Linked DNA regions of Tribolium castaneum. The main gene of each other region encodes a partner of the protein of the gene in region 2 in a complex. Links are inferred from orthologs where the notes say so. Each region holds a gene or a part of one and is shown on either strand. Other genes may lie near its edges.

Region 1 (4,329 bases), on a different chromosome or scaffold from region 2:
TCTTCTTCCACTAATCCATCAGGACTTGCTCCCAAAAAGCCTGATTCTTCCAACCTACAAAAAAAAGTAATATTACATTATTCATCTAAGTTATACGTGTTAATTATTTTCGACCTACCAAAATCCCGTCTCTTGGACTTTAAGATTCGTCGCTTCTTCAAATTCTCTGAGCGCTGTCTTCTCGTGGGTCTTACCCCACTGCACAGCAGCAACCCTGTCAAGCGAATAGCCTTCCGCCAAATTTTTAAATAAAGAGGGTGGGAATCTTCGTCTACTGCAAGCAGATAGTACCATGCCAAACCTGCTGGCCGTTAAACGATGTTTCCTTGCTACATGCCAATTTTCGTTAACATGTTGGCCCCGAGTGCACGCCTCAACCAGTTTAATGCGTGCCTCATCTATTCTGCACTTCTCCAAAAGAAACTTTTGTTTGTCTATGGCCTGCACGTATTCTAAGCTTTGTAGAATTTCTTCGATATCTGCAATAATTTTTCTGGCTTCTTCACTTGCTTCTGGTCTTAGGAGCCAAGTGAAGCCCACCACATTCGTGACGCCTATTTCGGCACGGAACTGAATAATTTCGTCCTCAGTAGAGGACCTAGACAGTGCCGTATAGTTTGATAATTTCGGCTTGTAAACATCAGCTAACTTAATGACTTCTGTTTGTGGTGTTGTTTTTGATGGGGCACTCCACTGACACTCAATGTCAGTAGCACTTACATTATAATGAGCATAATATAATGCTGCAGCCATATGATGGCAAGCCACGTTGCCCCTTGGGCAGGTACAATGTGCCGTCTTAACCCCTTCTTCTAGGTCATATGAAATCTAAAACACACTTTGTAGAAGAAATGTCTAACAGTTAAATAAATACAAACCTCCACAGTATAATTTAGCTTTTTCATGCTCGGTAGAACTTCTGCAGAAATTCTCATCGGTTGTACTGTGCCATCAAACCTAAATTTGGTGACGTGACCGCTGGTAAAAGCATTTTCTCCCCGAACTAAAAAGCGATTACCGTCCCCAAAAAATTTCGCAATAAAGTGAAACTTAACAATGTGCTTTTCTGCCACTAAAATGCATAAATATAATAGTTTCTCAAAGTATAATTAAAGCTTACTCACTTTCTCACCGACAACGTGGTTCCCTGTATTCTTTTATAAAGTTCGTATTTTCACAAAAAGTCACTTCTAAATTAAATTAAAGTCTCTAGTGGCACAAATTACACCCGCTGCAGCTATTTGACACGTTATTAACGCACAAACACAACCAAAAAACCGAAAAACGTATTACACCACATGTAAAAGACTGGTTGTTTAGCTTTGAGCAACTGACCTACCGTAATAAGAGTGGGGAGGTGACGTCACGACTGATAGCGCGTATTCCACGTTTCGAGTTCCACGTTTTCGAGTTTAATTGGTCGTGGGGTTTGTTTCCTTTTAGTTAACTGGGGCGAAGCCCCAGCCACGCGCAACATATTTCCATAAAAACCACTATTCCAATATGCCCAGCTGAAATGAGAAGTCCGTTATGGTCTCCGTTCGTACTGTTCCGACCTCGCTCGCAACATTTCGACTGAGCGAACATTTGTAGACCGGCAGGGGCTAGCCGCTAGTAGTTGCACCAACCCGTTCCCCCAGTTTCGGTTGGCTCCCCTTTCGAAATCTGTCATCACACCGGTTGTCAATTCAGATCCTAGTATAAAAATAGTAATAATTTATTCAGCAAAACGTAATTTTCCCACATCCGAATGAAATGGCATCCGTTTTAGAACAGTTTGTGACGACTGTTAGGACCCTCTCATCCCATGGTTTGTACCCGAATCGGGCAAATTCCCGTACGAAATGTGTGAATGAGGTTATGTTTGCAGGAAACTATAAAGTTCTTTGTGAATATTTAAGTAAATCGTCGGATATCCTCCTGAAAAACACGCAGCACTTGGACAACGTGCTCGAGACGCTCGATCTGCAGCAGCACTCGCTCGGCTATTTGGTGGTGTTATGCGCTAAATTTAATTCAACAGTCCCAGCTAATACGCCAGACAATCGGTTTGCACAAGTGCAAGAGTTTATCCATGGCTGTAACGGAGAGCAGATCAGACTGGCCCCCGACACTTGTACTGACTGGGCGGGAGTGTGGCCAGTTTTTTAATAGTCTGGTTTCAGTTGCTGAATTATGCCACTCTCTAACAAATTATCTAGTTGAGCAGAAGCAACCCATGAAAGGGATTCTCCTCTTACGAAAGGCCATTTCGAAGTTGCGGTTCTTCGATTCGCAGTTAACTTCGATCCATGCTGATCTGTGCCAGTTGTGCTTATTGGCAAAGTGCTTTAAGCCTGCTCTAGAAATTTTAGATACTGATATTACTGGAATTTGCCAAGAGGTAACCTAAACAATGCGGAACTACAATTTTTGGCTTATTTTTTAGATTGTTCATAATCCTAATGGGGCCCAATTTGAAGCAAAATATTTTTTATTGTATTACTATTATGGCGGAATGATTTATTTAGCTGTGAGAAATTTGGATCGTGCTTTGTATTTCTTTGAGGTAGCTATAACAACCCCAGCACATGCTGTTTCTCATATTATGCTCGAGGCATACAAGAAGTACATTATAGTTTCACTTTTATTACATGGAAAAGTGAGTTTTTGTATTTTGTGAAGAAAATGTTTCTATTTTAATCGAGTTTTAGATACAACCAGTGCCTAAATATGCTTCACAAGTGGTTACTCGGTTTATCAAACCATTATCTCAGCCTTATAATGATTTAGCAAATTCTTTCACTTCAAACAACACAGCGGATTTGAATGCTGTACTTAACAAACATAGAGAGGTAATCAATTTTTTTTTGTGATAATATTTTAGTTGTATTTCTGGTTTTAAGGCATTCACCAGGGATCACAATTTAGGTCTTGTAAAACAGGTATCCTCAGTGCTTTACAAGAAAAACATTCAAAGGCTGACGAAAACCTTCTTAACGTTAAGTTTGTCAGATGTGGCGAGCCGAGTCGGATTGCCTGGCCCTTCGGATGCCGAGCGCTACATTTTACACATGGTAAAAAATTCTAAATTGCGCAAATTTTTTTACGGTGGTTTTTTGATAACTACCTCTTTTATTTCCTGAATCACATTTTTGTATCAAAAGAACACACAAATAATGTTAAGAAATATGCGTGATAAAGGTGAGCTTGACAGGACCGTTTTTAGCTAAATTTGTGCCCTTCTTCAAGTCTCAATATTTGAAAGGAAAGTAATAGTTTTTAGCTAATTATACTCTGGTAATTTATTAAAATTTGTTAAGATTGTTATGAATCTTGTAAACACGTTAACTTCTTTTTAAAATTAGTTGTCCGATTAAATTTTAACTGTCTTGTAAAACTGTAGGTCACTGTTGTAACAGCTTTTCTTTAGCAAGTTACGTTATTTTTTGGGTTAAAATGAATTTTTCTCAATTTTTTGATAGAGGTAAGCCAACATAAAGTAAAACACAATAGTGCATTTTTTTTAAAGGTAACATTGTGAAAAAATGCTCTGAAATATTTTCAGATCGAAGATCAGCAAATCTACGCCACGATAAACCAAAAAGACGGAATGGTTGTGTTTAGAGACGAGCCTGAGAAATACGGGGGCCCAGACGTGCTGAAAAGCCTAGAAGCTCAACTAGCAATTTGTATGGAACTTGACAAACAAATCCTTGCAATGGACGAAGACATCCAAGTGAATCCCGTCTACGTGAAGAAGTCGAGCGGTGTACAAGACGAGGAGCAGCCCAGCAAAAGTACATACGCGATGTAAAAATTTCAGTTGCTCAGTGTTATCAGTTTTCATTTTGTACACTTGAAATATTTAAGCTTTTTCATGAAGAAAGGGAAACGTCAGCTCATTAACTTGTAATCGAAATTATAACATTATAAACACTGTGTGTTTTTGTAGTTTAATACCATTTCTCAGAGACGTGTACATTATTTATTTTGTGTTTCTTTAAGTAATAACAATTCGAGATTTACATTGTACTGAGGTTATTTACAATAAAATACTGATATACTTGCTACATCAGTATATTTCGGAACGTGGCATCACAACTTTACAAACTCCAAAATACTATCAATATCACCGAGTACTTCTTCTAAGGCTTTGTGTGAACGTCCGTCGAAAAACCGCACTCCTTCGACTTCGTTCTCCACTTCTTCTTTCTGTTTTAAGTGTTCAGGCCAAGCGCACTGTTCGAAATAACCAGGACAGTCTGGAGGCTCGTAAACCCTTTGTTCACGTCGTGCGAAACATTCGTCTTTAGGAAGAGTAAAAAAATATTTCAAGTGGAACAAACC
Region 2 (4,099 bases):
GCAGCTTCCCTGTTATCAGTAGCCATAGCCTCGTCAGTTCCATCAGAGCGTTCTTGTAATTGAGTTTTCAGAGTCTTTTTAATGTTACTAATCTACAAAAAAAATGCATATCTAAAACAAAGTAATGATACAAACTCGAAAAAAATACCTCTTGCTCCACTTCAGCTTTTCTCAACATTGATTTATTTTTTTCATTATTTGCTCTATGTATTTGTGTTTCAACACAAGCCAAAACACCTTCACAGGCCGAACACCAGTCTTGGAGACAATTCACAATTACATTAATGTCTTCAGGACGAATATCACGACCTATGGCATAATCAACCTCCAATTGACTATTTTTCTGGTCCAATTTTCCATGAATAATGTCAGCGTAAATCGCCTCAATTATTAAGTCCTCCAAATCACGAACATTTGTTATGCCTAGCTCTTCCAGAAGGGTGTTGTACGGAATACACTAAAAAAACATTGTTTTTATTATTACTTGCTCTAAGAAAAATCAATCAAATTTTGTTAAATTAGTAGATAGGCTGATTCTTTTAGAGCCTACATTAGAAACTTTAACTTCTAACATAGCTAGAGGTATGATTTGTTGAAAATGATGATTAAAAAATGATTATAAAACAGTTTTTCAAATGGAATTACCCAGTTTTTTAAATAGCAATCAAAAGAACATCAATTTTTATGCATACTTTTAATAACATCTTCTATATATCTATTTCTTACAGTATTTGAAATAATCGCAAAAAACAGAATTTTAGCTCATTATTTTCATTTTTAATCAAGTAAACTTTTGAAAAATACGATAAAATTGTACTGTTAACAAAAAGAAATGTCCTATTTATTTACCATTTTCATTCAAGAAGTTCAAGGATCAATGGCAAACTGACTGAGTTACTTTACATAATTCACTAACTTATAATAAACTATAATTAAATGTGATTATTTTACTGATTATTCGATAATGAAACAGCTAAAAACTAAATAAAAAATTGAAGTTTGATAATTGTTGACCATTTTGCAAGGTATACTTGATTAACTATGAAAACTACCAAGTAAAATCCGTTTTTTGTGATTTTTTTCAAAAACTGTAAGAGATTGGTATAGGACGTATTGATAAAAGTCACCATAAATATCGATATTCTTTCCATTGCCGTTAAGAAAATAGAGTCGTTCTATTAAAAAAAAGTTGTAGAGAAAAATGCAATGCAACTTTTTTACAAAGTTAAAAAATAGTACAATTTTGAACTGAATAGTTTTTGTGCAAAAATGCTTGAAAATGACGTAAATTTGTCGATAGTTTAATTATTTTTGACAAAAAATAAAAAAAAATTGCAGACTTTTTAGAAGATTTATTATAAAGTACGGTAAAAATTTCTAGTTTTTGGATCAAAAAGAAGCTTAAAATGTTTTTAATTTTTTTGTTTTCACTTTCAAAAAAATCACTCGTATTAGATACTGATAAATTCATTGTAGTAACAAAAACCGAGCAGAAAAGTTTGATTATCGCTAGGCAAAAATGGTTAAAAAATCTTTTTTTAATTTTTTTATATTTGTTTTTTTTGTTAACTTGAACATGTAACATGGTACAAATTTATGTCCCTTTTATGAATTTTAGGAATATACTCGATTATCTTTAGATTGTTATAGTAGTCAAAACAATGTACTGGGTGGCCGTTTTTTCAGCTCCACCATGGGAATCTCAGTTATTATACGAGATACGAGGTGGTTAAAATTTGGGTTTTAATTTTTTTCGAGTGAAAACCAAAAGAACTAGACGTTTTTAACTAGAACGTTCTTTAGGTACATTTTTACAAGAAATCTAAATCTGTCGTCCCATTTTCCAAGGCGTTCTTGATGTCAGTGTTACAACACTAAATTTTGTTTTTTCTTATGGAAGCCATATTTGCTTTTTGTATTTTTGAAGTGTTTTCATTTCCGATTACATCTATGTATCACATGATATAATCGAATCTTAAATGCTCATCAAAATGGAGAAAAAAGCATTTTTACAAAGAGTGCTTTGGAAAGAACGCCAACAATTTTTTTGTTTTTAAACAAACTAGATTAAACAAAATCATTAAGAGCTGATGACATTTTTATGCCGAAACATTCGCAAATTGCAATAACTTGTATTTTTTTTAATAAAAAATGATAGCCAAAAGCTGCATTAACATGCTTTTTTTGGATACCATGTGCTAACTGCTATTAAAACCATTGATAAATTTTAATACAATAATGTGCTCCGCCATCTACACAACACTATCGAAACTATCGAGAACGAGGACTTTTTATTTGTAGGTCGTGTCGTTTCCTAATCTATAGTTATCCATATTAAAAACTTAATTTCACTAAAGTGGAATTACTTTAACTACCTTTGATTTGGTGGCCAACGTAACAATGGTTAAATGTTGAAGCTTTTTCTTCTGAGCTGGGCTTAATTCAATTAAATCCTTCTTATTTGCTAGATAATCCTTGTAGGTTCCGTAAGCAAACAAGTTGAGAGTGTTGTAGAAATTTTTCTGTGGTGTATTACTCAACTACAAAACACTTAGTTAATGTATAAATGTAAAAATATGTTTGATTACCTCTTCAATGTTTTGCATGTGAAGTAATTCACCAAAAACGTAAACACCGGGGGCTTCCAACACTTGCTTGATCAGTTCGGAACAAGCAGCCCCTTTTGTTGACTTTGACAATAAAACAAATTGTTCCAAGGCATTGCCAGGGAAAGGATTTTTTTCAATAACCATTTTTTTAGTTTTTATTAGTTAATTTGTTGTTTTTGAAGCACTTTTTAAACACAACAACCGATCAGCTGTCACACGCTGCTGTCAAATGTCAAAGAAACATAATTGCGCCTGCGCAGCTTTTGACATAAAGCGGTAAATTTAAATTTGTTTAAAATTTAACAACATTGATTAAAGAAAGTAAGAAATAGTAGAAAATAGATACAATAGTTTTAATTATATAATATTTTTAACCCGGCTATATTTATGTTTGTGTTTGCTGCAATCCGTTGCTAATTACATTGTAAAATTTGTTTGATCAATACTTAAATTACAAACAAAACAAACGTAACTTCGTCTTCGGCTACAATGTTTCGAAATGAGGTAATAAAATATTTATACTTTAGTTTATTTATACTTTGTATTATTAGTTACAAGATGATGGAGATTTGCGGACTGAAATTTTTCATCTGAAGAAAAATTTATCCAACATTAGCACCGAAAATCGTATGCTAAAGGTGAAAATACGCAAATTGCAGAATGAAATTATTAAAAAGGATAAACAAATTGATGCTATATTGGATCCAAAAAAGGTAAAAAACTCTATTAAAAGTTTCAAGTTTTTAAACAATTTTAGTGTTTCGCTTTCTTTCGGAGAATTTGTTCTTTTATTTCTTTTAAGTTTTTCACAAAACATCATTGACACTATTTGTTTGTAATTTTATCCTTATATGACAATAAATAAATGATTTTCTTAGTAATTGAAGGTAAAACAATTAAATTTAGCTGTTATTATTAGGTTTATGTATAAAAAGTTTTGCTAAAATTACAACAAATTGGCGTCTATAAAACTTGTACAAATTTATTCAAATAAGTATAGTCAAATAAGGCAACAAATAAATCATACCGATAAATTAAATAGTAAATAAAAACCGAGCTTTAAAATTTAACCATCCTTAGGTAAGAAATGTCAAAGATTCCTTATTTTTATTTTTTTAATTCTCGGAGCCAAAAAAAACAGTTATATTAAATATACTAATAAATTAATTGAAGTAACAAAAGCCCAGCTTAAAAATTGTAAAAAATTCCACATAATTATTTTTTACTTTTGTTTTAATTTTGCTGTCTTACAGATAACTAATTGTGGTTATAAAAAACGAACGTTAAAATTATTTTTTTTTGGCAATAATTGTTAAAAATTCTTATTTAATTTTTTATTTTGATTTTCTTTTTAATTTTCGGTATCTAAAAAAGACGATCAATTGGAACAAAAACTAAGCTTAAAAAAGTATAATTATATAAGATATAAAAACTGTTAAGAATTCTTTATTTTTATTCTTTCTTTTTTATTTTTAGGATCAAAAAAGATA

Evidence for each region.
Region 1: CSN7 (region 2) and CSN3 share a complex: the UniProt entries of both Drosophila melanogaster proteins name them as parts of the CSN complex. The link is inferred for Tribolium castaneum from reciprocal best matches to the Drosophila melanogaster genes CSN7 and CSN3.

What each region holds. Positions count from the first base shown.
Region 1 is NC_087394.1:32,821,151-32,825,479, forward strand, and holds CSN3 (COP9 signalosome complex subunit 3), read left to right. Parts: upstream 1-1,470; 5' UTR 1,471-1,755; coding exon 1,756-2,116; intron 2,117-2,165; coding exon 2,166-2,383; intron 2,384-2,428; coding exon 2,429-2,641; intron 2,642-2,693; coding exon 2,694-2,834; intron 2,835-2,885; coding exon 2,886-3,056; intron 3,057-3,547; coding exon 3,548-3,796; 3' UTR 3,797-4,052; downstream 4,053-4,329. Other genes in the region: uncharacterized protein LOC135265914, read right to left, coding at 1-54, 119-828, 879-1,072, 1,125-1,125; nicotinamide riboside kinase 1, read right to left, coding at 4,078-4,329. UniProt on the Drosophila melanogaster protein: Component of the COP9 signalosome complex (CSN), a complex involved in various cellular and developmental processes.
Region 2 is NC_087395.1:497,782-501,880, reverse strand, and holds the start of CSN7 (COP9 signalosome complex subunit 7b), read right to left. Parts: upstream 2,851-4,099; 5' UTR 2,754-2,850; coding exon 2,589-2,753; intron 2,541-2,588; coding exon 2,376-2,540; intron 458-2,375; coding exon 149-457; intron 93-148; coding exon 1-92. Other genes in the region: IQ domain-containing protein E-like, read left to right, coding at 3,099-3,113, 3,161-3,322. UniProt on the Drosophila melanogaster protein: Component of the COP9 signalosome complex (CSN), a complex involved in various cellular and developmental processes.